4 linked regions of the Oreochromis niloticus genome follow. The protein of the gene in region 4 purifies or fractionates together with the protein of the main gene of each other region. This does not show direct contact. Links are inferred from orthologs where the notes say so. Each region holds a gene or a part of one and is shown on either strand. Other genes may lie near its edges. The genes, in order: lsm12b, ataxin-2-like protein, rc3h1b and nufip2.

Region 1 (7,321 bases), on a different chromosome or scaffold from region 4:
CGGGTAAGAAAGAAAAAGTAGAGTAAAATGAACAGCTAAAATAATAAAAGTAAAATAAAAATATAAATATAAAAAGTTTTGATGGTTAAAAGTAAAATTCACACAGTTGCACAAAAACCAATAAATGGTATAAAAATAAAATAAATCACTGGACTTACCTTGCTAACATTCAGTGATGCTAGAGGGGGTGGAGTCTCGGTGCGGTCATTTATAATGTCCACATCAGAAACATAGGCTAAGTTGATCAGGATGACGTCGTTGAGGTTTGGCTTACCACTGGAGGAAGCACATTCTTTGAAGGCACTTAGGTCAAGGCAAACAACTTTGTGACAGTGAATGACAGAACAAAAATGACTATTATCTGTCCCCTTGAAGAACTTGGGACATCAGTTTTCTGCACAGAGAAGCTCATTATTCAGAGAGCACTGGCTGACAAACACTGACAGTGAAAGGTAGTGCCAGTTACAGCATGGGACTACCGAAAGCATTGCTGCCACCTGTAGCATCTATAAATGAATGGAGATGGCTAAAATGTGTTATGAGAGGAAAAACTGCAAAAAAAAAAAAAAAAAAAAACCCCCAACATGTACTGATGGTCCACAATCATGAAGCACCCATAACGAGCTCAGCAAACCCAGTATCTACAACTTACCTTAACGGCTTTTAGCGAGTAAAATTGCTTTAATCACCACTCCACTTTAATTATTACTGTATTGATTTATTTATTACCCATCATATCAAGTTTCTCCAAGTTTATCAGTGTTTACTTGTTGCTCTTACCATTTTACCTTCTCTTGCTGATTATTGATTGTGAAGCTTTGTGAAGCTTATTGTAACCAAGTCTTGAAAAGAGCTACATTACTAAATTTTTATTATTATTATTACAGGACTGGCTCGCTCTATGACTGACCAGCAATACACACACTGTTTGGGCTTTAACACTGCCTGTTTATTATTTATTTATTTATTTAAGTCATAACACATATCCTCTCACTGTGCAGTAACTAGTAATAACAACTGTCAGGAAATTTTACTCAAACAGTGATAAACTGCTGACTTTGGAACTCAAACGTAACATACAAACTAGTCTGATTTTTGTTTTGCTCTGGATTTCCTATCACAGCAGCAGTTTTCAAAGGTCTTGTGCACCTAAGAGCAAACCAACATTTCATGGCACATCTTTACAGTAAGCTCTACTGCCACATAGTTTCCCTCCACAGATATTCCAACAAACTGTCTGCCTCTAATTCAAATCAAGTGTGGGTTTAAGTATCCCGTCTTGGAATAATGTTAAGATTAGCCAGCTTGTCTTGAAATACTGTTATTCACAGATAGTGTCTTTTGTATAGGCAGGGGATTGCCCACTCTCTGCTTCACAAAATACAGTAATCCACTGTACTGTTTTCCTCACCATCTTTTAGGATCTTAGAGGTCCGCTAATTTAGCAAATATAAATTAAACTCATTAGGTTCTAGTGCAGCTGCTTAAATAATAGATGGATCTCACCAAATCCCAAGGCACGCCATTTATGAACCTTAGATCTAACTGTTCTGTATGTGTTTTTTGGCAAACTGATCCATAAAAAAACAAATAATTAAAAAAAAAAAAAAAGAATAAACCGAATTCTTGCAATAGATACATTGGAAAAGACTGTCTGAAAGTCGATAAATACATAAGAAAAATCAGCTGATTTTACACAGGCCTTGCATTCAAACTTAGCATGCGAACATATCACCTCGATTAATCACGTTTTGGGGGTTGCTCAAAGGGTAAAGCAGAAATACATACAATACCTGTATGGCTATTGAGCACACTTACACGTTTATAACTAGTCATTACCATACATTGCAGAGCTTAAAGTAGATGTCCATGCTTTTCTACAGCTCAGATAACGTCACAAAGTGTTTTTAGTGTTAAACTAACACTCAGAAAGACCTTGACTATCAGCTCTAAGCGCTCCCCACTCTTCATTTGACTTAATCACCTCAAGGTTTGGACACAATGAGGATAACTACACGATAACCTCTCGAGTCTGTGCAATTAACTCGGTGATCAGTGAAAGGAGGACATGATACGAAGCACATTCACACACTCACTCATTCACTCACACTGATGGGTGTAGACATGTTCGCCAGCAAACTAATGTTAGTAAGTTATTTCTCCCACACAAATGACTCATGTTAAAATGAACTGTGGCACAATCACACAATATTTACAGCCCAGCTGATAAGCTTGAGAACGCCAAACCCGTTAATTGAGCTAGCCAGTAGCTGCAGTGTGGGTTGACCGAAACCTAGCATGCTAACATGCTAAAAGCACCCTGATTGTATAGCGTGGACTCGGAAACCACTTAATCTCTAACTTGTACAAATAATCGTAAGCATCTCCGGCTGATGGCACCACCAACCATGTGAGGTCAATATGTGGACACCGTCAACACGCGAGACTCTCCCAGTATCAGTTAGCTCGCTAACTAGCAGCGGTTGTGCCTGCTGAGAGCACACAGCCATGATGCCTTACGAGGATTCGTTGCCAGATAATGATCCATGTTGAGGGCTGGCAATACAATGAGTGGATTCAAAACACATGCGCTGCTAGAGCGGCTAATGGGAGGCCAAGAAACTACCAGGCAACCCCAACTAAAGGCTTACACAGACAGAAGATAGATGAGGTGCTATCTGAAACATGAACATATATAAAACGGGCAAACGTGTGTGCTTCTGCTAGCACCAATTACGCCTGCGCGGATCACTATTTGCCATATTTCGGTTACCCTACAGGCCCTTGCAGCCAGGCAGGCCAGCAACCCCTCCATCCGCAGCTCGAAACAAACAAAAGGATACTCAGAGTTAACATCTTGGACTGGTAGTCAAACGCGACCACTTCTCCTTGGAGACGTTGGCCCAAGCATGTGACGCATGCGACATGGCTCCCGACGCTAAAATACTCCCCGGGTCCAGGAGCCGCCATCTTCTCCGCCAGGAAACCGGAGCGCCTGCCTTACGTAAAGCGACGCGATGTCGTATGGAGACGAAACCTGAGCGTAACAAAAGTACGTCGATCGTTTCTTCTAATTTAATGAATTATATGTGCTGCCAAATCAAATCTAGTTTACGTAAAGTTGTATCATTGAATCACTAACTAACGTCTTCAACTGTAGAACTACTACGAATACAACTTCTCTCTTCGACGAAGGATGTCGCTTTGTTTCCCATTGAACCGCCTTCCGATGTGTCCCGCCCCCTACCGGATGTAGAGCAGTACTGTGGAATTCATTGTAACACATCAAATAAAGGGCTGTCTTTAGATTGCCATCTACATATCAAAGTGTTTGTACTGGGAGAGGGCAGAAAGGAATGGAGGAGATTTATACCCAAGGCGTCTGGATGGCTGAAAGTCTCCAGCAGAGGACGAAGACTCAGGAGAAAGTCTGGCTTACGGTCACTCATATGGGAGATCCTAAAGCAGCCTTTCTGCTCGTCTTTCCTTTCACTTATTTCATCAACAGGAGAGCTGGAGTAGCGGTGCTTTGGGCGGCAGCTATATCGGAGTGGTTAAACTTAGTGTTCAAATGGTAAGGCGTTTTAATGAACCACGATTTGAATATTCCTGTCCAACTTAGTTTTTACACTTATCATTGCGGTTGTATGTCTCATGGTAGCATGTTGCTGCATTAACTTTTTTCACATTAAAATTTTTAATTATATATTCAAGACCGCCTGCACGTGTTCGTTTTTTCCAGTTTAAACAAATAACTAGATAATTTTAGTTTAGTCTTTGCTTCCGGTACAGCAAAGTAGTACAACCTTTTATTGGCGTCCGACGTGAAACAGAAATGAACGGAACCATTTGTGACCAGTTCCGTGGAATTTTCCCCACAAACAGCCTGGAGTGTAACAAGAAAAGTGACGAAAACAAACGGAAATTAAATATTAAATATTCACCGGATTAAATTTTAGAAAAGCAATGATATGGATGGATAATAACAAAGTTATAAAATGCTTCACAAGACAACATTGAAAACAGCAAATATAACGTTTAAGGAAAAATAAAAGTGAAACAACATGAGGTATATGAATACTGAGAACGCAAAGAGAAATAAAGACAGACAATAAATAAAAGAAACAATGATTACTAAAAGAAGATGATAAAGCAAATATGAAAGACAACATCGTAACACAAAGTGGAAACAGAGAAAAAGAATGCTCGTAAAATGCCTTTTTAAGAAATTTAAAAGACGATAATGACCTAAATCTCATCAGACAGATTGTACCAGAGAAAGGGTGTCCTGACAGAAAAAGCCTTTGGTTTTCAGCCGAGATTATGGGATGGCGAGAGCAGCCTTAGCTGAGGACCCCAACATCTGAAATATACTTTGGTGCGAACCTGCATACTATTAACATTGTTGTTACAATGTTATTACAAATAAATTTGTTATTATAACAAATTTACTTATATTATACCATAAAAACTAGAAATAAAACAAGATCAAATTAAGGGAAACACGCAGAAGACAGAGGAAAACATGCATAGAAAAAAATGAAACCCGCAAATCTTCAACAATTATTTTTAAAAAAAGAAAAATACAAAAGCCATTAAAAATATACAAAGTAGAGAAACAATACAACTAAATTACTATGGACATAATATCGATTTTTAAAAACGCCATGTATTATTTTGATTTAGATATTTCTGATTACACTAATTATTATTTTCTGAGGGTGTTGATGGAGAAGTATAGCCAAATATAATACAGTAAGGAACTTTGAACTAAATAAATTCCAGTAAAGTAAAAAGAAGAATGAAGAGTAAATATGCAGAGGCTTTTGGAGAAAAAAAGTAAAATGTCTTAGATTCAATAAGTAAAACAAAAACTTATTAAACGTAGTAAAATATAGTGAAGCCATGACCTTGAATGTATTTGTGTTATTTGGGGTGTGTGTGTACATTTATTTTTAATCAGGCTGCTGTTTGGAGAGAGGCCGTTCTGGTGGATCGGTGAATCGCGTCTTTTTGTCAACAAGCAACCGAAAATTCACCAGTTTCCGTCCACCTGCGAAACAGGCCCAGGTTAGAAGTTGTCTTAGAAAAATAGACTGTGTTTGAGTCATAGGCGATGTCTTTAAATCATCAAACAGTCAGCTCTCCAAAGTTGGCATATGTTTCTCAGGCAGTCCGTCTGGACATGCGATGGTGACAGCAGCAGTCTGGTGGGTCGTTGTGTCCTCGCTGGGGTCCTTTCTGTACTCCCGTACTCACAGGTATGTCCCTATTTAAGCTAAATCCAGTGCAGTATGCTGCTTTGGCTCTAAAAATGCACAAAAACTGCTGCATAGTGGAACTACTTTTAAACAAATCTCTCCTTTTCTGAATCCGGAGTGTTCTGTTATCAGCTGCTCCCTACGTGCTCTATGTGGTGATGCTTGTTGCAGTTGGAATCTCCAGGATCTTCATCCTCGCACACTTTCCTCATCAGGTCGTTGCTGGCTCCATTACAGGTCTGAATACATATTATGCAAAAATCATATTTCTGAAAAAGGCGGGGCACTTTATAAAAAGTATATTAAAAGCCAAATGCAGTGATCTTCAAAGTGTAAAAGACATTTTTTTTATATATGATCACAGCTGCAAATCATACAGGTTTAAATTCAAAATACACTAAATATTTTCACTGACTGAGTGTAATGGATTACAGGCAAGCATGTATCAGACCTGTGTAGATATGCAGCTGTGCTGCAGAATGATGTTTGCTGAAATGATTGAGGCCTCTCCTAAAACAGGTGTCCTCTGGATCAAAGCATTGATTGCTCCAAAACATTAAGTGTTAATATTTCTAGCACAGGTGTAGATCTAGTGCACTCCATCATCACTTGTGCTGGTTTTTGAGCTGCTTGCTATCAACTATCTGTGCAATTCTACAGGATTTTTGTAGTAACCAAAAAAGAATTTCATAATTGGATTTGTCAGACCCATAGGATAGTTTTCCTATGTGTGCAGCTTAATCTGATGAAATGCTCTTGTCAGGTTTCATTCTGGGGATTGTCCTGAGCCGCAGAGTACCAGAAGGTCGCCCCCTGCTGTTCTTCTTTAGTTTAAGCTTTGGGCTTCTGTTTGGAGCTCTGATGCTCTATGCTGGATTAAAGCAGCTGGGAATTGACCTTTCTTGGTGAGTTACTCTATTACATTAATGTTTAATCAGTGAGTCTGATCAGTGTATGTTGTGATAATATGAATGGACTTCCTGCCATGACCGGTCATGTTTTTGATTCAACAGGTCTATTGCTTTGGCCAAGAAATGGTGCAGCCATGCAGAATGGATTCGTTTGGACACAGCCCCATTCTCCTCTCTCACTCGAGACTGTGGGGCCCTGTTGGGTTTGGGGCTGGCACAGTACTGGAAGCCTGGTGGATGGTCTTTACCTTGGGCTCCCAGAGCTTTGTCTCTGGCTATATCATCCATGGGTCTTTACCACGTGAATCGTCTACCGCTCCCTGTCCGACCACAGGGCCTTTTCTACAGCCTGTTCTTTGTCAAATTCGTCCTAGTGCCTCTGATCGTTATGGTACTTGTGCCTGGGCTGGTACACCTATTAACATTCAAAAAAAAGAAAGACTAGAAGAGTTTCTCCACACATGATGTGCACCTTAAACACCTCCCAAAACTGGAGTTTCTTTCAGAGTTTGTATAAACACATTTAATGTTTAATGTTCACTGCGTTTCAGAACCATTTTGATCGGTACGGGTTAAGTTTACTTTTCATGTCTTAAAATTCACTAAACAATGGCCTTTAATCCAGTCTATGACCTGTGTTTTTTCCTTTTTTGATGATTTTTAAAGTGCCGGTATTGAGACATTGTAGCGTAAAGTACGTTTCTAGTGAATCTAGTGCAATCATAAGTGTTGTAAATACTACAGTATTTTTGCTAAAAATCGACTTTATTGGGAAACGTGCAACTTTGTTTATGTGCATTTTGTGTTGTTTGAATCTTTACGAGTCAAAGATTGGTACACCTCAGATTTGTAGCTAGTGAAAGGCAAAGAACTTGAACATTGTTCAGATGTCTGATGCTCAGCTTTGTGTTATTGCCTTGTGACCAAAAAATTGAAAGTTACATTTCTATGTTATTCCCAAATCAGTAAAAATAAATGATTGACATGCAGGGCGTGTTTCAGTTGGTAACCATTTATAAATATGTTCTCCTTTTTTCCAATACATATGTTCGACTGTACAGATTACAATCAGTTATCATGAGATAAAAACACATTCTTTTTTATTGTTTTTAATTAAACTTCACAGCGATCTGAAAGCTCACATTTACA
Region 2 (7,901 bases), on a different chromosome or scaffold from region 4:
TCCTGCAACTAGTCCAGAGCAGCATAAGGTAAAAATCTTCTTTCTGCACAGGTTATGCTAAAGGTGACGTCCCGTGCCATATAACAGACTTTTTTTTTGTTTTTGTTTTTATACATGATGGGGAGAAGAAATCATAATGTACTCCAGACTTGTCACTAGATTTAAAGTTAGAGTCGAACCGCGACTCAACATCTGGCCACCTCGGCTACTTTACACGACGAACAATCCACCAGGCAAGGGTAAAACCTCTTTTCAAATGCCTCAAAAACGCAAACATTTATATTGATTTCAATATCTTTCCACTTTTAGAAGCTGCCAGTGTCTAAACAATGACTTATTTCCTGGTTGCGTTTTTCAAAAAATGTAATCAGTTCTTTGTGTGTTCTTGCACTGACTGGACAGCTTGACTCTTTAATTTCACTCTTACTCAACTGCCTTTACTTTCACTTTTGATCCTTTGTATCTGCCATATCAGAAATTAACCAACCTCCACAGTCTTGTGTACAATCACATAACCGCACACGCAGTTTTAACCCCAATCTGATGACTGGTCATAACAGAGTAACTTTGTGGATAGGATCAGGCATAGTAAAGACCAGCTAATGCAATCAGCCACAGGTGAGCGAAGAGCAGCTGTAGATAAACCTTTCAATGGCCCTTTTACAGAGGAGGACTTTACCAAATACAGGTCATACGCATATCTGACTCCACAGGCAAAGGGCTTAATACATTGCCCTATAAAATGTGTTTTACATCAGCGATGCTTCTAAATGAGTAAAATTTAATAATTTATAATAATTTATATAAATTTACCCAGTATCGCCATATATTTTCCTTCCCAATAATATTTTAAAAATGTAGTGTGTATTTGCAGTTTTGTGGATCAGGATACTTACAGGAGATGACTGGAATGATGGCTTTGCAGAAGATCGATTCCTGAAAAACAAAACAGAAAAGTTTTGCTGTTCAGAAGGAGAAGAACTTGTTTTCAAAGTCTGAGGAGTCAGTGTCACAGTCCACATCACACACTAGAAAAATTTGGTTATTCGAGAAGCAGACAGAGTTACCCAGAGTGGCAGGACAAGTTCTTATGTCATTCCTGCTCACCAGAAAAGCTCCACAGTTAATTTATTCTCAATCCACGCACTCTAACTGTGTGACTTAAAGGAAAAACACTGGCATCTGAACATAGAAATTGTTTAAAGAAATAATACTTGTTTACAGATTAAGCCCCCCCCCCCTCCCCCCATCTGTCCCATCCCCCTTCACCTCACTGCAGGTATGTCTGGCTCTAGAGCTTCAAGTTTCTCCCTAGTGTTTATTACCACACTGTTTGTTGATTTCCCTGCCCTCTCCCTTTTCCCCTCACCCCAACCAGTTGAGGCAGATGGTCGACCCTCCCCGGGGCCTGGCTATGCAAGTTTCTGTAGGTTTCCTTCTGTTTAAAGGGAGGATCTTTCTCCCAACTCTCACTGCCTGCTTGCTGAAAGGGTATTGGTTGGTTTCTCTGTAATATTCGTAATCCAATTTGCCCTATAATAACTGTTGATATAAATAAAATATAATTAGACATAAATAACGTATGTCAGTTTAGTTAGAATCTTTTTTTTAATATGCGTCCTTAAGATAGAAAACAGGAAGTCTAAATCGAAAAATAAAAACACATTTCTGCCCAAAAAACGTTTGATATACGACTGGAAAAGCCATGAAAGGGTGATGTAGACCAATCTGCATGCTAAACGTAACTCCATCATGAATGGCCACTGTGGCTCGTATCAATGCTTGCTACATGCTCGGTTACAAAACAAAGACGGAGCTAATAAGACTTCAGTAAACGCGCTCATCTCACAAATCAGCAGCACACGCGACCTCGTACTGGTCATAACAACTGTGTAATGTTAACACAGCCACTGTATCAGGCGTTTTTATTAAGCATTTGGGACGTGAGGTTATACATGTAAACAGTTTCTCCCTCCCCTCTCTTTCGCCCCTTCTCAACCAAAAACAGGCCAAATAAACTTTGTATCACCTCTATGCTGATTTGCTACTCCTAGCTTTCGCCACTTCGCTGATTCGGTTGAGGTTCGATTCGAGCGTGCTGATTGGTCCACATTTGATGCCAATCTAAGAAGAGTGAATCCCATTGGCTTCTAGGTAAGCTCTATTTTTGGGGTTACGCCCACTGGGAAACAGCGCTTTAACCGGTAGGCCTTTGAGTCACGGGACAATCCCCGGACTGTCCTGAAAGAAAAATCCCAGCCCCCTTACCTTCCAGCCGGTGCCCTGTTGGCGTTGTTGATCCCGCTGACTGGAGAAGACATACTGGCAGGGCCCGATGTCCCGTTAGACGCCTTTCTCCCGCCGGATCCGGGTTGCTGCTGTTGTTTCAGCATTGCGAAGCACAAGGCTTAGACAGTATCAAGTGAAAGCTCACTTAAAAACACCGATACCTCCTGATGTGAAGTAGCTTTGAAAGCGAACTATCTTTAGCAGTTATCAGCTGCCCTAAGAAGCGCAGAGCCGGCGTAACCTCCCCGGCTATTGTGGCTAATCTTGCTAGGTGAACACCAGTCGCGTGTGGCCTAACATGTAAAAGCAAAAACACCTCGATAATAAAATTAAATCGGACACATAACTTAACAAATTACCCCACGCTATCTACTCTACAACCACACAGGCTACGCCAAAGCAAGCGACAATTAAAAATTACACCAGCTTCCGTGTAATTATTTAGCCAAGGCTGGCTAGGTTAGCATTAGCTGTGATCCTCGGGCTCACTTCGGGCGCTCTCCCTCCGGGGTTTACTTTATATCCTCGGCCGCGTCGCCTTAAATCCAACACCGCTGAACCGTCGGATAAAAAAATTACTGCTCGGCGTTACTGTCCTCTGCCGTGGAACTTAGATTTTCAGGTTTCCTTCGGAAAACCTGCTGCGGTCGGTCAACACCTCCTCTCGCTAGGACAGCTTGACTGAATCCGCGCGCGGCTGACTGCAAACCGGCTCAAAGGGGGAGGGGGCGTTGACGTGAGCGCGCTTACGTGGAAGAATGTGTGCATTGATTAAATCAGGACTTAATCGATACCACTGTATCGCTGATATAATCAAGGATGGGTGGTCCCTGCTGTAAACGTGGCAGTCACCATACAGAACACTTAATGTTTTGTTTACAAATCACCACCTTGGTTTCTGTTAATTTAATCATCTCCCATTATTTTTTTCATATCTGTATTGATCGCATGTATTTATTAATTTATTATATTTGATTCATGATTGTAACATTAACTAAACGAGGACACCAACAGCACAGGCGAAAGGCTGAAACAAGCCGAGCATCGTTTTTTTCAGTGCGTCTGTAAACCAGTTATTACGGTTGTGAGCTACAGAGATCATGGCGGCCTCCATAGGGATACTTTGACTTATGTAGCAGGAGTTTGGTAATTTTCCTAAATGATCTTTGCCTTTCTGTTAGTCTCAGTTTCTGCTACAGAGCATCTGAAATAAAAACAACAATACGCCTTCTCCCAAATAAACCGTAAGTACATTTCAAACCTGAGGGGAGAGTTTGTTGTGGATCCACATGTGCGCTGAGTGAACAAAGCCGTATTTAAACTGTTTACGTATTTGTAAGTTGTGCTCTTACTAACAGAGAGCGAGGATACGGTTTGATTCAAAGCTGTACATGTTCAATATAACCATTTTTTAAAATTAAATTAGAATTCGTGCCAAAATGCTTTGTTGATGCCAGAGGTCAGAGAAAGGCGGACTGTTTCCAGCTGGCAGGAAGGCACCAGTAACTCAAACAACTACTCGTTACAGTCAAGGTACACAGAAGAGCATCTCTCAGTGGGTATAACGTGGACCCTTAAAGCAGATGGGCTGCAGCAGCACAAAACCACACCTGGCGTTACTTTAGTCAGGAACAGGAAACTGAGGTCAAGTTCACCAAAATTAGGAGATTGGATAAATGTTGGCTGGCCTGATGATGCGATACTCAGATGGTAGGTTCATAAACATGGAAGCATGGAGCCATCCTGCCCTGTACCAAGAGTTCAGCTGGATGGTGTAATGATGTCGAAGATATTCTCTTGGTAGTTTGGGACCCTTTAGATCAACTGTCTTAAACGTCTTGAGCGAGCTCGTTGTTTTTACCTATTATTAGATGTTTCTTGTGTGCCATTTTGGTAATAACACACCTTGTTATAGGCCATAAGTGTGGAATGAACCAGCTGATATTAATTTGCAATAAATGGCAGGATTATTTTCCAATTACTGACAGATTTCAGCCGTTGTCATCATGGCTTCTATGTTTTGATTTCTTTGGGTGTGTGGATTGGATGGGTTGTTATTGAAATCTGGTGAGAATTTTTTATGTCAAAAGCACCTTTAGAAATATTTAGAAAATTTACTTAGAAAGTTGCTGACATGTTCATTGCTTATTTTACCCACTGTAAACAACAAAGTTATTTTTCCAAGTTGAGAGTTGAAATAAAGCTGATGGGTCACGAAAGTAATGGAGTATCTAACAGGGATACACCATCATTTAACTTTTACTCTGACAGGTGTGCGTCTCACATGTTGAGAAAGAAGCTTCCCTTCCTGCACAGTCTCCTCTCACCGGTTTCCAGACATGTCGGTCACCTCGCAGGACATCAGTATGATGTCATCGTGGTGGGCGGGGGTCACGCAGGGACCGAGGCAGCGGCGGCAGCAGCCAGAGTTGGGGCTGAAACACTCCTCATCACGCAGAAAATTCACACCATCGGTGAGGATAAAGGGACACATAAACAAAGAAGCTCTTTTTCCTCCAACAGGGAAAACTAAACTTCTCTGATAATATTCCCACAGGTGCTCTGTCCTGTAACCCCTCTCTGGGAGGAGTAGGGAAGGGCCAGCTCGTGAAGGAGGTTGATGCTCTGGATGGGCTGTGTGGTCGGGCAGGGGACTGGGCTGGGATTCATTTTTCCATCCTGAATCGTAGAAAAGGGCCTGCCGTGTGGGGTCCGAGAGCCCAGCTGGACCGTCAGCGCTACCGAGACTTCATTCAGGTTAAGAAAAAAACCCAAAAACTTGAATTACTCATCCATTAAAGTAAAATATTTGTCTGCGAGTGAATTAAAATGTTTGTCTGCTACATATTTTTTCTTCAGTCCGAGCTGCTGTCCACTCCCAGGCTGACCGTGTTGGAGGGCTCAGTGGAGGAGCTGTTGGTAACAGAACCAAACCCAGAGGAGCCCGGGCACCACAGAGTCACCGGGATACGTTTGGGTACACAGCAAATTAACTCTTTTAAGGACAAGGACCTAAATGGCAAACGGTACATATTATACACTGAATTTACTTTCTCATGTTTTTTGCACTTCCTGAACAACCAGCTAATGGCAGCCATGCGATCTCAGCCAGATCAGTGGTTCTTACCACTGGTACGTTCCTGTCTGGCTCCCTCTTTGTGGGTCAAACTACCTCCCCCGGGGGTCGGATTGGAGACGCTCCATCGAGCCCTGGGCTGTCCCATACGCTGAGGGAGAGGCTGGGGCTAAGGACAGGCAGACTGAGGACTGGTACCCCTCCCAGGATTGTGAAGGACTCAGTAGACCTTTCTTTGGCTAAGCTTCACCTCCCCGACAGTCACCCGACTCCTTTCAGCTTCCTCAATACCCACACCCACTGCAAGGTACAGCTGAATGAATGGACTTTTATTTTTTAACTCACTGTCTAGTTTATTGTTCCTGCTGCTTTATTTTGAAATGTAACCCTCTGTAGCCAGAAGAGCAGCTGCCTTGCTACCTCACCTTTACTACACCGGGTGTGGAGAGAGTGGTGAGGGAGAGTCTTCAACTAAACTGTCACATACAGCAAGACACCAAAGGTCCCAGGTACACACACACACACACACACACACACACACACACTCACACACACACACACACTTTGGACTCAATGGTTTGAAACTCAGAAGGAATCACTTCAGTTATTCCATCATTGTCTGCTCTTTAATGCAAAATAAAGCATGTAGATTCGTTTTAACATGAAAGTTTTTGTGAAGAAAATGCCACAAAAACAAAAACATCAGTATAACTGTGTATCATAAAATTTTTATGCAAAACTGAAACAATCGAGCTGAATTGGAATGACCTGCAGTCTTCGTCTCTCACAGGTACTGCCCCTCCATCGAGTCGCGAGTGCTGCGCTTTCCAGGCCGAAGCCACCAGGTGTGGCTGGAGCCCGAGGGCGTGACCTCTGACCTCCTGTACCCACAGGGTCTGTCCATGACAATGCCCCCTGACATACAGCTACGCCTCATCAGAGAAATCCCTCCCATGCGCAGAGCTGAGATCCACACGCCAGGTAGGTCCTTAGATCCTGTTTGATTTGCCTAGTAACAAGTGAGAGCAGTGACAGTTCCCTAAATTCTTCCCTAATTCTAAAAAAAAATGGATTGACAGAAGTAGGCTGGTTTCCAGAACTGAAAGTCTAATGTTTGTTTTCTGGGATTTCCAGGTTATGGCGTGCAGTACGACTTTGTGTGTCCCACTCAGCTGAGCCCGGCGCTGCAGGTGAAGAGCACTCAAGGTCTGTTTCTGGCCGGTCAGATCAATGGCACCACGGGGTACGAGGAGGCTGCCGCACAGGTAGCTGCTTCTTTCCTTAAAGCCACACACACACACACACACACACACAGCTGGAAGCAGCTTATCACCAACTGATTTTTCTTCTTCTATCTGAGCAGGGTTTGTGGGCGGGAGCAAACGCTGCCCGCTGGGCGCTCTCCATGCCCACAGTGACGCTGTCTCGAACAGAGAGCTATATCGGAGTTCTCATTGACGACCTGGTGAGTCGAGGCGTGACAGAGCCTTACCGCATGTTCACCAGCCGGGCCGAGTTTCGAACTTCTCTAAGGCCGGACAACGCCGACCTCCGCCTGACCCCGAAGGGTAGGTGTAGCATCTCCAACGTGTTATTGTGCTTGCGTTTGTTTTTTTTTCACTTCTTCTCCTCATCTCATTACCTTTTATTTCCCATCAGGCTTTGAGGAGGTGGGATGTGTGTCTTCCGTGCGCTACCAGGAGTCTTTAAGAGTGAGGAACAGCCTCCAGGATGCACTGACAGCCCTTCAGGCTCTCTTTCTGTCTACCTCGAGCTGGAAGAAGAAGCTTCCCAGTGTTCCCATCAGTGAGACCAAGAGCACCTTACTGACGTGAGTGATAGAAATCTGCCAAGCTAATAATTTAATTTTTCATGTCAGTTTAAAAAATTTTTCTGGTTAATGTTTGTTTTTCAGTGGCTTAGATCTTCTTCAGTACAACGACGTGACCTTTGAAATGCTGGCATCTGCCTTCCCCGAGAGCCTTTCGTCTTATATGGAATTTGCACAGAGACTTAAGATAGAAGGTAAGACAAAAATAACCCCGCCTGAAATGTTCATCTACAATAAAACTCTCACTAAAACGTTTCTCTGGTCTGTCACACAGCTGTGTACAAGCCTCACTGCGACTTAAACAAGAAAGAGATCGAGAGAATTCAGAGGGAGGAGAACATGTCCCTGCCGCAGGACATTGACTATTTCTCTCTGCCGGTGTCGCTTTCCGACGAAGTTCGAGAGATCCTGGACAGAGTTCGACCGAGCACAGTGAGCCCGCTCCTTTCAAAATAATAGTGTGAAATATTTATTTTAATAAAAGGGAACAAATATGCCCTGACTCTTCTGCTCTGTCCTCCAGCTGGGCGCTGCTACTCGCTTGGAAGGTATAACTCCTGCTGCAGTCGTCAATCTCCTCAACTATGTGCGCGTCACAGAGAAAAAGAAGGAAACGCACAGAAACCAGCGACACCAGGAGGCGCAGAGAGATGAGGAGCTGTGTGCAAACAGTGCCTCTTTACCTCAGTGATGCAGTCTAAAAAT
Region 3 (8,006 bases), on a different chromosome or scaffold from region 4:
ACGGTAAGAAACAATTTGGACTGAGGGCCAATTTAACACGTTACAACTCATTTTGCACAACAATTAAAATAATCACTACTTAAAATATATTACATTTAATTTCAAATTATGTGGATTCTCACTAATCGCTGGTATTAGAATGTTTTTTATATTTTAGTCACAATTGTCTTTTAAGTAATCAGCTGAAGATTGTCAAAGACCCTCAAAACCAGGCATTTTCATTTGTGCAAGGAGTTTCACTTAACTATATTCTAACAGCATGTATTGAAATATTAATATGCTGAGATGCTCTCATTAATGTTAGCAAAATCTCTTGCTGCAATCTTCCACAAGCAAAGCTCACAAAGGCTAACGTCAGCACATTAAGGCCAATTCCGAGAAAGGTCATAACAAAGCTGAGTGCTACTTGATAATGTTTGCCACCATTATTATCACTCAGTCTGTCCAAATACATGTGTGTGGGGCACACCGCGTGTGGTAGGGATAGTCATATTTTTCCACCATAGAAGCAAATTTTACATTACTAATATATATATATATATATATATATATATATATATATATATATATATATATATACATATATATATGAATAACCGACTTCAACATCAAACAGGGAATGTTTAAGGAAGTCCTACCTAGTTAAACTATATTAGCATAAATGTGCAATAAGACTAAGATCTGTTTAAGAGACAAGCCATACCAGTCATGATGACTAGAGAAGACACATTTCAGCATTACAAGTGATGCAGTGACGTTATCCATTATTGCAGTCTTAACTTAGAAACTTGGCCAACAAAGCCAGACACCATTAGCTGTGCCTCACCCTGTTGGTATAACACTCCCTCTGAGAAATACGGCTTTAGTGAATGCGCTAGCACTCAGTAAAGCAGCATAATTCAAGTCATTGCTCAATGACTGCAGGGTGACTCAGAAAGAAATCCCAAAAGTATGTACACCATGTAGTAACCCATGTGTGACACAAATACAATCCATAGTAATTACAGAAAACGTCATCCTTTAAAACCAGGATTGGTGTCTTAAAATGTTTCACTACTATAAAAAAAAAACAAAAACAAAAAAACCACACCCATGAGCTAGTATTCTTAACCACAAGATAGCGTCAACAAAATCTCAGCACAGGCGGTATAAAGTCAGATCTCTGTACATTTGTTTAGCAATTTATGACAAACACACACAAACAAAGGTCTTACCTGGCCTCCCACCAACTGCAACAGAGCCGTGTTGACAGGTAACTGCTCGATGTCTGTGCTGATGGCTGTCTGGTCAAAGGGACAGGCCTTTCGGTGCAACTTGTTCAGGCACATCTTGCAGACTGTATGTCCACAGCCTAAGCTGATGGGCCTGCGAACAGTTTCCTCAAATGTCTGTGTGCAGATCGGGCACAGCAGGAACTCTGTCCATTGTGGTGCTTGCACTGGCATGGTTATATGTTGATGGGATGGGTGTGTATAAATGTATGTGAGCTTAATCACAGAGGAAAATATATAATAATTTTATATATATAATGAAAGATTCCACTGGAATCAATTTTTTTTCTTCCGAACTCAATCGTTCTTAAATGTCCTCACACATTGTGGATTGTGGATCACATCTCGTGATGAATACTGTAAAGCAGAAAGAGAAACGGAATTATAGTTGTTGCCGCATTCACAAACTGTCGTTTTTTTTAATAAAACGTGTCATACTGTTATTAGTTTTACATCAAAACATTGTAGAAGTACACTATAAAACATGGCTACACTGTGCATGAGTGCATTTGCAGCTGAGAAATGCATTCTATGCCGTGTGGTTATAAAGCAGGTTTCCCGTGGAACAACTAACCGCACTGAAAATATGCCTCTTCCTGTCAATTACGTTGTTCAAGCCCAACAAAACAATGTAACGGCAAATCAGACGCGACACAACACATATTTGTAAAGTCGGAATCAAACAAATGGTTGAGATGGACCAAAACAACTGCGGCGTGGCCTAGTTAAAAAAAAAGAGAAAAAAAAAGAGCTGGTTATCACTATGACTATGGACAAAGGGTATAGGATAGGCTAACCACCAAGTCCCTCTAACTTGATATAAAGCTAGCGTCTGGTGATAGTGCTTGATAATATTGTACCAACAATGCGCTGTTGCCCAGTATTTTTTATCCTTGCTGTGACCATCTCGGTGTTTCGTTATGCACCCACTAATCTTACGAGTGATACGAGACGCTTTTATAGCTAGCTAACTCTAGGTAACGTTAGCTTACTTTTAGCATCGGAAGCTATGGGTGGCTAGTTTCCTAGCTTAGCTACGGGCAAACGTCGTTTGATCAGCAAACAGTTGCTTAACGACCTGAAACCTTTCGCTGACCGACTGTCACACAGTTATTGCTCTGAATATAGTCACAGTTGCTCATACGTTACAGTTTTAATGATATTAATTATCCTTCGAGGAGGCGCTGTTCAAGGAAACGAGATCTAAGAGACACAACAAGTCAGATTATGTAACGCTAGCACCCGTAACTTCAAAGCAACGAAACTGTCCCAAAATGTCTTTATATTCACCAGACACAGTGACAACAACTCGATACCAGAAAGTTCTTAAGAACTGACCAGGTTTGTGCTTTAGTCTTGTTTTGAGGGGCACATAACTCAACCGCTCTTGTCGTCGGAATGAGCACAGAGGGCTAACATGCTAATGAACAAATGTTACTCTCTCCACTCTCTTAGCGCTTAGCTTCTTAGCTAGCTCGCTAACAATCTCTATGCGTCACTAATGTGCCTAAAACTAAACATGCAACTACTACTTTGGGTTTTTTCACCGAGCAGATAAATCGTTATTGTCGATGCTACTCACTTATTCCAAAAGACTTGGAAGTTTTTCATCTTTTTTTTAGGAAATTGCTGCGATATTTTCTTGCCATGTCGACTGTGCAGCTTAGCTGCTGCCAAGGTTTGGGAGAGGGTGTCAACTCGACGACAGACTCGCTAGCCGGTTACAGCTAGCTGGAAAAGATGTGTGCGTGCACGCGCGTTTTTTTTTCTTTTTTGCGTGTGCGCGTTTGGATTGTGGGCAAATGGCGCCCTCTGTTGATATTGAGCCGCACACACAAAATACCGAAACTGGGCAGGTGCTGAGAAGATCACATCTGGGAACATTTTTCACAGTTAAACTGCTGAGTTTGCACGAGTGCATATATATTAAATATGTTTGTGTATCTGTTTTCGAAACATAGACAAAAGAAGGGAAGAGGAGAGCTCAGACAGATTAAAACAGAGGGAGGGAGCTGTATTGACAAATAAGAATCAGCTGACATTTGTTTTTGCAAGACAAAATTAGACCCGTGCTCCCTAAAACGCAGCATACCCCACTTCCTTGCAATCAGAGTCACCGAAATAAAGACTGAAAAGTATCTGGGATATCTCATTTGGGCGAGAGGTCCCCAAGCCATTTTACTAGAATTGTTTTCTCTTTTTCATTGGGTTATTATTATTTTTACAGCGGGGAGGGAATCGGTGTGTGTGCACTTGCGCAACACAGAGCTCCACTCGACGTCGGGTTCGTGAGGCAAGAGCGAAATTAAAGCAGGCATTTTTTTTATTCCATTTTTGTTTAATCCCACTGATTTCTGAGGGGATTATCAGACCAGGCATGATTGAGAGACCGCTGACTCGCCTGACACCGCTCGGAGCTACGTAGAGCGACAGAGAGAGAGGGAGAGTGAAAACAGAACCTCAGAATCTGGAGAAACATTTGGAAATCTTGTTATTATCATTATTATTTCATCCACGGGGACGTCGCTCGTCTTGCCAGTTGGTGACGCGAGGATGCGCGCTGCAAAAACTGCACGCTTGGCGCAGCTTTTTATTATGGAGGGCAACTTTAATTTGTGCGGTTGCCCCAGAATTTATGGCAACTTTCTCGTGACCATCGACGCTGGGATTGCATGTCAAAGTACGCCGTCTTCAGTAAAAGTGCAGGTACATTAAAAAATGTTTGTTAGCCTTCTAATAGCGAAACCAACCTGTCTCTTAATGTGATGAGAAGCTACTTTGTTAATGATAATGATGTGTTAAAATTGGTTTTATGGAGGCGGTTTGCATAATTACCAACAGTAGCCTGTACAAAACTGCCACTGTGCGTATTTCTTATGGGTAAATAATGAATTTTAAATACTTTAACTGATCCCCCCCAGTTTTTCTATAAATGAATGGCAAACAGGAAAAAAAATGGTTTATTATTTCTGATATATACAACCAAACATAAACATATAATACTGCTTATTCCCTGTAGGGTCTCAGTTGCAGGCAGCAGTTGCTTATTCTGATTCCAAAGGATTATCCTGTGCCCTGCAAAGTAATCACTGGATAAGGCAACGTGACAGAGTCCACATTACATATCTCCTTACCCGGCACACAGGAAAAAAGTATCTGGTAACAGAGATGTAGAATACACTGAATAGGAAATGTTTTTATCTTTCTTGTTCTTTATTTTCAGAATCTCTTTGGACTTTCTTGTGCATGACTAGCCAATGGAGGAAGAGAAAGCCGCTGATAATATCCAATCAAAATCCGGCTCCCCTTTGCCCACCGGGCTTCCCATAAACTGGGGACTCATTACTGGGCCTGTTCCTGAGCCTGTTTTCCCACCCACCACTACTTTGAATACTTCTCTTCCTCCCCCTGCTCAAAGTTCAGCTGTGCACGCCCTGCAGACCAAGGTGAAGTCGATCACGCAGAGAAGAACAAGGGGAAGAGACAGGGAGAAAGACAGAGAAAGATTTGACACGGAGGTGCTGGTGAGCAACCCAGCGGGGCACATTTCATCTGAAGTCCTCCTTAGACAGAGACCCAAAGTGAAAGGCCAGCTGTTTCTGCCTGCTCCCTCCTGGCGATCAGGTGGTGCAAAGGACTTAAGCAGCAGTGATGAAGAGGAGGAGGTAGAGGTACAAGTCAGTCTGGAGATCCACAGTCCTCCCGCTGAAGCACAAGTTGTACAGCAGGGGGAGGAAGTGGAAGAGGAGCAGTCAGAAAACAATGATGGACAGGTCAGTCATCCAACAGGTCAGCCTTGTGGGCTTGGAGAGGGCACCAGTCTGGAGAGTCTTCTGTCTGACAACTCAAGCACTAGCAAGGATGGCCCATCCCCTTCCCCTCCTCCTCTTCCACCACCACCTGTGCTCTCCTCCAACATCTCTGCTTCTACAACATCGTCCTTTACTTCCTCCACTTCTTCTCCTTCAGCAAGACACTGGGCCCCTCCAAAGGGCTTCTGGAGAGTAGCACGTCCAGAAACGTTGCTTCTCAATGGGGTTGACCCTCACAATACACCCCCCACATTACCACTAAAGGACTACACTCGGACAGAGGCACTAGCAGAGCCTCAGAGGAAGCCTAAACTGGCTGAAGCAGGCAACAAGAATGATGTGGGAGGTCTGGCGAATGACTATGATGTGTCTTCTGAAATCCAAAAGTCTGATAGTGTGGAGTGGTACCTGGACAAGTATGAGCAGAGGGAGACAGATGTGACTGATCCCAATAAAGGACTGTGCAGTTCAGACAGCTCGGAGAGCATGTCTTCACAAAGTGGAGTCCTTTGCGCTGATGATAAACTGAGGGTGAAGGAGAGGGCCTATGCAAAGTTAAGGGAAAGACAACAACACTACAGGGAAGTGAGAGAACTGCACGAAGGAGAAATCACTGGCTATTATGAAGAAACAACGTACAGAGTGGATTATAATGGTAGGTCTATTAAGGAAAATAATAGAGAAAGCTAAAAAGTAATGCATGGAGCCATCTGAGAAGGGCTTTAGTAATACTTTACTGATAAATAAGCTGTAAAGTGTTTTGAAACTCCTGGCCATGGCATGAAATACATAACTTTACTTTTGCAGTATTATTATGCTATACAATAATAGCATTTTTAGTAGCGTGCCTTTATTTAAAAAAAGAAAAAAAAACACATGCTGCCATATTTATGACAACAATACTTGATATAGTTTCAATAACAGGTTGTGACTTAGTCATAATTTTTTTCTGTATTACTTTAGCTTCCTCATGAAGTGTAGTCGAATGTTATGAGCTGGATCAGCTCCTGTGGCGTGTTAGCATTTTGGATGAGGACAGAAAATGTAAAATTTTGCATTTGATTTTTTTTCCCTAACAACCTTCTAAAGCTGGAAAATTGTCAATAATTTATGCACATTGTCTGCTTAGAATGATTTCCATCTGTTGCAGCCATTTAAAGTGCCCCATTCAGCCGTAGTCTGCCTACCTACAATGTTGTATTGAAACGCAGAATGTAACCTGGCTGGTTCCCAGTGCTGAACAGATGTCAGATGTGCAGATGTGCATGCGGGTGTTACTATTAATAGAGCAGTGGGGGAAGTGTCCCTGTCTTTTTTATCTCTGCCGGCGCGCTAATGGATGTCTTTGTATGTGTGTAGGATGACAGATGATATATTTTCCCATGCAATGATCATGTAGTATTGCACAGATCTCAGTTTCAATGCCCAGTACGAGAGATGCAGGTGCAAGTCCGTGATGATGAGATGATTTTGCCCTCTTGTCTCTGGGAAATCTGCTTTTATCCTTCAGCAGTTACATAATCTGTGTATGGGTGTGTGTGCGTGTGCGTGTGTGTGTCTTGTTTTGTTTTGGGTTTTTTTTTTTGTCCGAGATTAAAGATGAGTTAGGGATGACCTCCGAGACTGCCACTGAGTCTAATCTGAACGTAATGTTATAAGGTTTATGAAAATCCCTTTGATCATAGCAAGTCCCAATTTCTTTGATACCCAAATGTCCTTGTAGGTCACGTCATGGCTGACTGCTCTCTCTGCAGTTGTGTTTGCCGCAAGGCAAGTCCTAAAAAATGGAACATTAAACAATAATTTAATGTGCTGTAGCACATTATGTCTGGGTGAAGGAAGAAACAAAGACAAGAAATCCTTTTATCTGGAAGAAATTTTGACTGCGCTCTTATATATGCTCATATCTTTTTCCTTTTTTAATGTCAGTTGCAGGTGCCCATCCTGTTTTGGACACCTCAGACTCAGCCATTCTGGCCCAGGAACTTGAACCCTATTTAAGGTGAGCAATGCAGTTCCTGGCAAGGATAGTGACAGATAATCTCTGTGGACTATTTATATCCTCTCCTCATAAATTTCACTTTTACAGCTGCACTTGAGAAAATCTACCCAATGAGGCAACTATGCCTGGTGCACAATCCAAACAAACATTTTGATAATCGGGTTTAATCACAGGGAAGAGATGATGTCGAGTATTATCAAAAGCAGTGCACTGGGGATACTGAGCGAGTATCAATTATGTGTTATATCTGATACTCGCTCGTCACTTGTTGACCTGACACACTGTTATCTTTTTTCACCAGTTGCACTATTATTTAAAGCCATCCTTTTAATAAAGGTTGTTATTTTGAACATGGTTATAAACTGTAGAATAAAGAGCTGCATATGATATTTAAAGACAGGCTTCAACTTTGTTGATTTCCTTTTTCTGGTGTTTGAATACTGCGGTGACACAACAAACTGTAATCTAGTGAAAGACAATATGTTCTCATCTTGTCATACAGGAGAGAATGAATCACACTTAGTCCATTACAAAGATAATCCACGTGGCTGGTGTATCATGCTATCTTTATCACTGGGCCAGGGGATAAAGAGAAGTACAGACGATGAAGCACAATGCAGAGCGGCTTAGCTGCTGGGCATAAAGATGGATGGATGAATGGATAAATGGATGGATGACATTCCCCTTTGCTGCTGACCACTAGAGCCACGCCCCAGTCTATCTATCTGATATTACATAAAACAGCTTAGGAAGACGCAGCTTGCTGGGCTCCGTGTTAAGTCAATCTTTGGGGAAATATGATGTCTCTGGATATGTGTCAGCACAGAATAAGCTTTGAAAATTTGAACACTTTATCAAATATTCAGCATTCTCAGACAGATGCAGGCAGATTGTCTCATTAGTGAGTTAAACTCTATCCAT
Region 4 (7,278 bases):
GCTAAGAAGGTACCCACTGACGGGCAACCGTTTCCATTTCCAGAAACAGGACCATTAGTAAAACTAGCTGAGGTGATCGTTTTCATAGCAGACATAGGGACCTGTGACAGTCTGACAGGAGGAGGCAGTGCCTCTCCTCCACCTTGAGCTACTTTGTTGAGGTTCTCTTTTACTTTACTTGCATAACTGATCTTGGGAACAATTTTAGCACTGCTATTGTCCACAGGAAATACTGGCGGAGGCTTGAACAAAGTCCACGAGTCCTCTTTTGAAGGTGAAGAAAGCTTGCCTTTGTGTCTTTCCTCAGTTTTTTTACCAAAGGTGCCAACTGTTTTACCATCAGAGTTTTTCCTCTGAGATTCACCCACTGAAGCCTCTGATACAACAGCCCGTTTGGCTGTCGACTGAGTTTCTACTTTCTGGGTGGCTCTAAATCCATCGAGTCTGGAGGTCATTCCTTTCTCATTTGTCTCTAGATTCAAAGCCCCCAGCTCCTCTGTAGTGTGGCCCTGCTGCATGTCTCTCTCCTTTTCTCTTATCACATTATCAGTGTTCTTTGTATTGTTACATCTGGTCTTGCGTTTCTTCGGAGTAGTATATCCACCTTCCGAACTACTACCGTCATTGTCCTTGCTAGAATAGCCATTTGTAATTAAGCCACAGTTTACGACGCCATTTTGAAGTAATACGGAGTCCTTCTTATCCAAAGGCGGGCCCTCATGATGACTCAAATCCTGCACCTTCTCCTTGTTATTTTTTAAGTCCATACTCTTCTTATGGTCCAGTCCTTTGATGCTTATTTTTGGAACAGTCGTGCACAGCTTTTGCGTGGATTTGGGCTTTGCATTTGTATTAATTGTATGTCTGTTAGCATTGATGCTAGGTGGATGCGACATGCCAACGGCATTAGACAGATGTGGATTCTTCTCTCCCTCCTCGTCACTGATGCTTACTTTTTTATTGCCTGAAAGGGGAAATAAAATCAGTTGATACTGAAATTAGGGAACATCCACCACCCTTCACCTGGCAGAAAACCTCCACAAGTACTACATTTACAGAAAGTCTGTGTCAAATAATCTGTTTCAAACTTGGAGAAACTACAAGGATTTTATAGATTTTTTGTGTGTGCGTGCACGCATGCTATCGCAATAGCAAAAAAGTGACTCACATGTATGCAACTCTTAACCTAAACAAATCCAAGTAAAAAAAGATGCATATTAAACTTTTAAATGTTTCTCTAGTATTACATGTAAACCACACCCATGGAGAACATGACTGATCTCCTTATTGGGTTTATAATTATTCTTATAGTGCTGCCTGAAATTAAACTTCCTAACAATCTTCCAAGATAAGCTGAGAGCTCACTACATGTAACAAGTTATAGAAATTAGATATGCTTCACAACTGTCAACAACGTAAAGGACTCTTGCTTAGCTTCCCCCACCCCAGAGAATATTCGACATCAGACACAAGTTGTTGCAAGGTCTGCAAGGATCGCTCACAACAGCATTTATGGCACACGCACAGAGGAGCAATAAACTATTAACAGGCCCGTGCACTGCACAGACGCATGGGAATTGCTGTGTCAACGTAGGACTTTTCATTCACAGTGGTGCTGCCTCAATGTCTGTGAGCGCAGCACCCAATGGATTCTATACGGTCTCTCCTCTCTTAGACGGAGGCCGGTTCTTACTCACTAGCAATCATACGAATGCATATAGTCTCGTAAAGACGATGCTTACAGTGTCAGCTCAGCGCCACAAAACAAGACATTGTCCAGTTGTTGCCTGGCTTCACAACACGCAACAGGCCTGTCAGTGATGGCTAGCTTTAGCTAATGTCAACTAACCAGCGGCTCGGTTGCCACCAACACGCCCAGGAACTGTCGTGCCCTATCAGCACCAACAACAACAACCACAGCAGCCAAAATGACAGCAGAGACATGCCAAAACAGCAAAGTATGTTGCCTGTACAACAATTTCTAACTAGCTGTGGAACTACAGCATTAGCCAGCAGTGATAGTCTAACATGGCTGACAGGAAATGGCAGCTCAGAACATTCCAGTGGAGCCGGCTCGGTTTTCCTAAGCTGGACATGAGCATGCCGAACAAAAAGACACAGCTTTGACTATTGTTGAGGATAACTTGCCGTGCACGCCTATCAAATAATGCGCTAAGAACACATGGCAACATGGCAGGGGTTCCTTGAGATGATTACGATGCATTTGCAAAAGAAAAATGGTTGGCGAAACCGGCGCACAAGGTCAATCCCCGATGTGTCAAACAACCACAGCGACAACTGTCACGCAACGTCAGCTAGCGAACTTGCTAACATAACGGTGAGCTCCTCGTCCGGCTATCCGTCAAAAAGGGCCAAGCTTTTCACCAGCTGAAACATTTACCAAATTATCTCAAGGAACCATATATAATATGAACCAATAGCTAGCAGGCTAAGTCCTCAATTGCGATTTAGTTCACATTAGTTAGCAAAAGCTAGTCAGCTCACTGACATTAGCTGACCAAGGCTAGCAAGCATTAGCTAACTTTTCGGGATGGCCCAACCTGTTTTCTTCGTCTGCGTTTCCTGATGCTGGCACTGGAAGTGGCTCTGATCATTTTTTAGACAAGTTGGCTGCTGAAAAGAGTGCCTGTCGTCTCCGTGGTGATGGTATTGCCTGTCTTGTGCCCGGTCTTTGGGCTGTTCCTCCATTGAAGTGAAGAATGTCGGACTTGTTCAACCAGTATGTTAGCTCACTCAAGTACAGGACAGTCCAATCACTACCAGAGTAAAACGGAAGCTATTTGAAGCCTCTGTAAACGTCAGCAGTAAACGTCTAAAAATGGCTCTGTTTTGGGTGGTCACCGCCACCACTCAAATCCATGTCTAGTTATTTGTGCTGAGTTATGCAGGGGAATATTTCTCAGCACTTTTTTTTCTGTCAGTGCTTGTATTTAATCGGATAACTGACAGAAGAATAACGAAGGAGCGATATTAAAACAAATCTTTTGGGGTGGGCGATACCGGGGTGGGGTTCGTGTGCGAACAAAAATCACATGACCGGAGGCGCTGCCACGTCTCAAGCCAGTGGACACATGTTGGTGATGGCGAGACCAACCCCTCTCCCAAAATGGAAAAAACAGACTCATTGCAAATTTATTAGCAATGCATTTGTGAGTGTTTAATCAGTACAGAACATTGTTCCTGTTTTCTGAACAAGCAACAAAATTACTCTAATAATCCTTGCGTATGCACAGAAATAAATAATATCAATTGGGTAGTTGGTGCAACGAAGCACGAAGTCAATGTATACTAGGGTTAGAAAAAGTAACATCCATTTAGTGCTTCCCATATTTGGCCCCTTATACATACGCGCGCGCGCACACACACACACACATATACAATTATATATCTATATCTATCTATCTATCTATCTATCTATCTATCTATATATATGTATATTCTGGTACATTTAAATCTGCTATTTGCTATTAAAGTGTAGAGAAACCGATTTGCTTCCCTGTTACTATATGTGCATATAACATATAAGCTAATTCATTATTCATTCTCGACTGACACACAGTGTAAAAAAGGTTTATGTGCTTTACTTTTGTGCACACTGGGGTCGGCACGGTGCAACATTGCTTATGCAGGACTTTAACGGACCAACAGCACCCTCTTGTGACTAAAAAAATACAAAGCCGTAGAGACTGTTTTGTTGGGGAAGTGAAGAACATTGATCATCTTCTTAGAGTGCAATGTTCTACTGTGAAACCGTGAGTCGTTAAATTGGCTTGCGCATTATTTTTCAGGCCCTTGTCACAATGCTGAGCCCCAACATACCTAAAAAATAATATAGCAGGAATAGTGACACTGTAAGAGTGTGAATATTATTTGGTATTTACTAGGTATTTTGCATAGTGTTGCAAAATCCTTTACCTCTGAATCTAATTTTGGGATTTAAAATCTTACTTAAAAAGTAGCATCAGTATGTACTTGAAATACCCAGTGTAAAAACGGGCCTTTTCTGTGATAATACACATTATTGAGTCATAGTTACTTATTAATCAGTGTGTATATTGTTTTTACTTAATATACTTCTGGGTAGCTAATTCTTTAACAACATAGCATCATATGTGTTTTATATTAATATGTGTGCTTTAAACAATTAGAGTACAAACACTAAAATACAGTGTTGTAGAAGAAGTAGCTTTTCATACAATTACATGAGTAATGTAGAAGTGCATACATTAAAATTAAACTTTGGCATAGTATTTGGGTAAATACCCCATAGGACACAATACTGGGCCTAAATAATGTACATTGGGGCGATCGTGGCTCAAAGAGTTGGCAGTTTGTCTTGTAACCGGAAGGTTGCCGGTTCGAGCCCCGGCTTGGACAGTCTCGGTTGTTGTGTCCTTGGGCAAGACACTTCACCTACTGCCTACTAGTGATGGCCAGAGGGGCCGATGGCGCGACATGGCAGTCTCGCTTCTGTCAGCCTGCCCCAGGACAGCTGTGGCTACAACTGTAGCTTGCCTCCACCAGTGTGTGAATGAGTAGTGGAATTGTAAAGCGCTTTGAGGGCCCCAAAAAGCGCTATATAAATGCAATCCATTATTATTATTCTAGCTCTAAAAAGAAAAAAGAAAGACAAATTTTCATTCAAAACAAAGGCAAGAAATTGTGGTGGCTGTCCCTTGTTTAAGCTAAACTCAGGCATGCAAGTGTAGTTATCCAAGGGTGAGTATAATATAGTAGAAGAAAATGACTGAAATGAACATTGATTCTGGATTCATCATGGTGAGGGTAGCTGATTCGCACAAACACAAATACAGTACAGTGTCACGGATCCTCTTATCTTTGACACTATTTAGGAGGAAAAAAAAGAGGTCACCCTGGTTTCACACAGTCTCAGTGCTGATGTTTGCTCTTTTTCTACTTTTTAAAATGAATAATTCATGTGATAACTTGATTTTATAAAAAGCTAAAACCATGTGATGGACTAATCACTCAGTCAAAGGAATTTGCAAAGAAAAGCGTCTGGACTTCTTTAAGTTGCTTGAAGACGTTTCAATGAGCTCATCCCGAAACCCTGGCTGATTAGGTCCCACACCCGCTTTCACACCTTGGCTCATGTGATAAGAGGATCACCAGGGGGTCCTTTGTCCCTCTTTGGGGGGATACTCCCACTGGGTTTAAATCTGGGACTCTCGGCCATTTGACCTTAGAACTGAAGAAGCTTCTCGGATGAGAGGTGAAACGTCTTCAAGCAACTTAAAGAAGTCCAGACGCTTTTCTTTGCAAATTCCTTTGACTACGATGACCTGGATGACTGAGAACCTTCACAGACTAATCACTCAGAAATGCTTACCTAGCAATACCTTAAGAACCAAATTCATATGATGTACTGAGCAAGTTATTGCTCAAAAGGTATTTATTCATGGCTTATTTATCATTTGCAATCATAATGAAGACTGACTCAGGCATCAGATGGAGGACAAATGTAATGAAATGCAGTTTAGCATTTGTGAGATAATTCTGATAGTTTCTCTGGAGAAAGTCTTTGAAATAAAATGTCAGATCTATTAAGCAAACATTCAACTTAATTGAATGTTGTCTGAATGAACCAAACTTTTTGCAGCTGTCATTAAACAGTGACAGGTAACACTATAATAACTTTAGAATACACATTAAATTGCAGACAGGTGAGAAACAACAGCAATGGGACATGGAGCACAGTGTCCCATCAGAACAGCTTCACTGTGCCTTGGCATTGATTCTCAAAGTCTCTAGAACTGTACAGTGGGGATAATAGACCCTCATTAGGTGTTTGGATGATGGCTGGTGTTGAGCCCTGATGGTTCAAAATGAGGGAATGCAAAGCACCATAGCATACAATTCCCATTACTGTGGATGTTCATCAACCCCTTCAGTGACTGTTTGTGCCCTATGGATGGATGTGTTGTCATCCTGTAAGACAACACTCCCCATCAGGAAAGAAATACGTCATCACAGAATAAAAGTGATTGCTCAGAACAAGTTTCTATTGATTTAAGCGGACCCTCCTTTTTAAAGGGGAACGTGGACCCTAACAATAGCAACAAAATTAGGGACTGGATCCCTGGGGGCAAAACGGTGGCAGAAACAGACCATTTCTAATACGATGACAAAGCTGAGACCATCGAGGTATATTAGGATTGCAGAGGATCTTTATGCTTTGCATTCACTGTAAGCCAGATCTGGAATTGTTTAAGTTTAGAAACAATTTAAATTTAAATGAGTACTGTAAAAATACACTATCGAGAAATTGTCCCACATAAAATGTTCTTCTAGTAAAATAGTAGTATTTGCGTAGCGCTCTAATGCATCACCATTGGTTGTGTTGGGTGGTCAGACTTTGTTCCGATGTGGCTATGGTCACCCCTAGCTCCTCCCATGGGGTCAAGAGTGAAGGTTTTGCGCTACTTTTCGAGCTGTATTTATTTTAGATGTACCAACAATGTGTTCCAGAGATTATTCGATAAGAAGAGACAGAGTCTACTCCTACTGTGTAATTTAGGTGGGCTTTGTTAAACACCAGTATAACACACTTTCTGCAAGCCCTTAGGAGAACTCAGTACTGGTTAATAAATGTGTGCAGCTTAAAAAGCTATTCCGACAACCAAATAAGCCAGATTCTGAAAAACTGAAACATTATTTCCTCAATGTAGTTAATGATTATTTCTCTGTGTTTAATACTGTATGAATAGAAACTATTTGGAATAGTACAGTGCTCTCTGGAAGTTGTTAGTTTATAATAATGCTATATTTCTTACTTTAATTGTATTTACATAATGTTACTCTTGTTCCTGATAAAATATTTATAATATTAATATCTGGCCAGTATGCAGATATGAAACTAAAGATTCAGATGGTTGAGATGAATATTACTAATTCAAAGAGATCAAAGTATTTTTCAAGCAAACATATTTCTCAAACAGGATATTCAAGTCTTTATTACAGATTGATCTCCTTCAGCAGGAAATCTAATATCATATATATTCATATTCCATAATTTTTGCAGCCTGCAATCAGACTCTTTTGATTCCTTTAAATCATAGTTACGGTGAATAACAAGTACATGTTTTCAATTATGCTGCAGACACGTGTTTTTGCACAATGCCCACTGTGGCATCTGTAAAATTAGTGCACAGTAAAAAACATAAAGGTGCAGTCTGAGTACATGTGAGGCTACAGCAACTGCACGCACAGATTTTCCTTTATAAAACTTTGACTTGA

What was found.
Region 1: the proteins of nufip2 (region 4) and lsm12b purify together in Homo sapiens (affinity purification with mass spectrometry; 3 studies listed by BioGRID and IntAct, counting the BioPlex papers as one, with this or other methods). This does not show direct contact. The link is inferred for Oreochromis niloticus from reciprocal best matches to the Homo sapiens genes NUFIP2 and LSM12.
Region 2: the proteins of nufip2 (region 4) and ataxin-2-like protein purify together in Homo sapiens (affinity purification with mass spectrometry; 4 studies listed by BioGRID and IntAct, counting the BioPlex papers as one, with this or other methods). This does not show direct contact. The link is inferred for Oreochromis niloticus from reciprocal best matches to the Homo sapiens genes NUFIP2 and ATXN2L.
Region 3: the proteins of nufip2 (region 4) and rc3h1b purify together in Homo sapiens (affinity purification with mass spectrometry; 3 studies listed by BioGRID, with this or other methods). This does not show direct contact. The link is inferred for Oreochromis niloticus from reciprocal best matches to the Homo sapiens genes NUFIP2 and RC3H1.

Annotation. Positions count from the first base shown.
Region 1 is NC_031973.2:7,489,333-7,496,653, reverse strand, and holds the start of lsm12b (protein LSM12 homolog A), read right to left. Parts: upstream 3,004-7,321; 5' UTR 2,971-3,003; coding exon 2,844-2,970; intron 2,564-2,843; exon of another isoform or gene 2,549-2,563; coding exon of another isoform or gene 2,521-2,548; intron 323-2,520; coding exon of another isoform or gene 293-322; coding exon 159-292; intron 1-158. Other genes in the region: g6pc3 (glucose-6-phosphatase 3), read left to right, coding at 3,357-3,574, 4,964-5,070, 5,171-5,261, 5,380-5,498, 6,025-6,166, 6,275-6,617. UniProt on the Homo sapiens protein: Nicotinic acid adenine dinucleotide phosphate (NAADP) binding protein. Confers NAADP sensitivity to the two pore channel complex (TPCs) by acting as TPC accessory protein necessary for NAADP-evoked Ca(2+) release.
Region 2 is NC_031973.2:16,470,280-16,478,180, reverse strand, and holds the start of ataxin-2-like protein, read right to left. Parts: upstream 3,020-7,901; 5' UTR 2,394-3,019; coding exon 2,269-2,393; intron 937-2,268; coding exon 897-936; intron 29-896; exon of another isoform or gene 1-28. Other genes in the region: mto1 (5-taurinomethyluridine-[tRNA] synthase subunit MTO1, mitochondrial), read left to right, coding at 3,740-3,999, 4,561-4,763, 4,847-5,046, 5,149-5,266, 5,374-5,672, 5,762-5,874, 6,156-6,346, 6,500-6,630 and 5 more. UniProt on the Homo sapiens protein: Involved in the regulation of stress granule and P-body formation.
Region 3 is NC_031982.2:15,300,172-15,308,177, forward strand, and holds the start of rc3h1b (roquin-1), read right to left. Parts: upstream 3,001-8,006; 5' UTR 2,854-3,000; intron 2,613-2,853; exon of another isoform or gene 1,668-2,612; intron 1,629-1,667; 5' UTR 1,446-1,628; coding exon 1,215-1,445; intron 1-1,214. Other genes in the region: uncharacterized protein si:ch211-13f8.1, read left to right, coding at 4,529-5,738, 7,013-7,085. UniProt on the Homo sapiens protein: Post-transcriptional repressor of mRNAs containing a conserved stem loop motif, called constitutive decay element (CDE), which is often located in the 3'-UTR, as in HMGXB3, ICOS, IER3, NFKBID, NFKBIZ, PPP1R10, TNF, TNFRSF4 and in many more mRNAs.
Region 4 is NC_031975.2:7,233,687-7,240,964, reverse strand, and holds the start of nufip2 (nuclear fragile X mental retardation-interacting protein 2), read right to left. Parts: upstream 3,009-7,278; 5' UTR 2,710-3,008; coding exon 2,562-2,709; intron 2,339-2,561; exon of another isoform or gene 972-2,338; intron 965-971; coding exon 1-964. UniProt on the Homo sapiens protein: Binds RNA.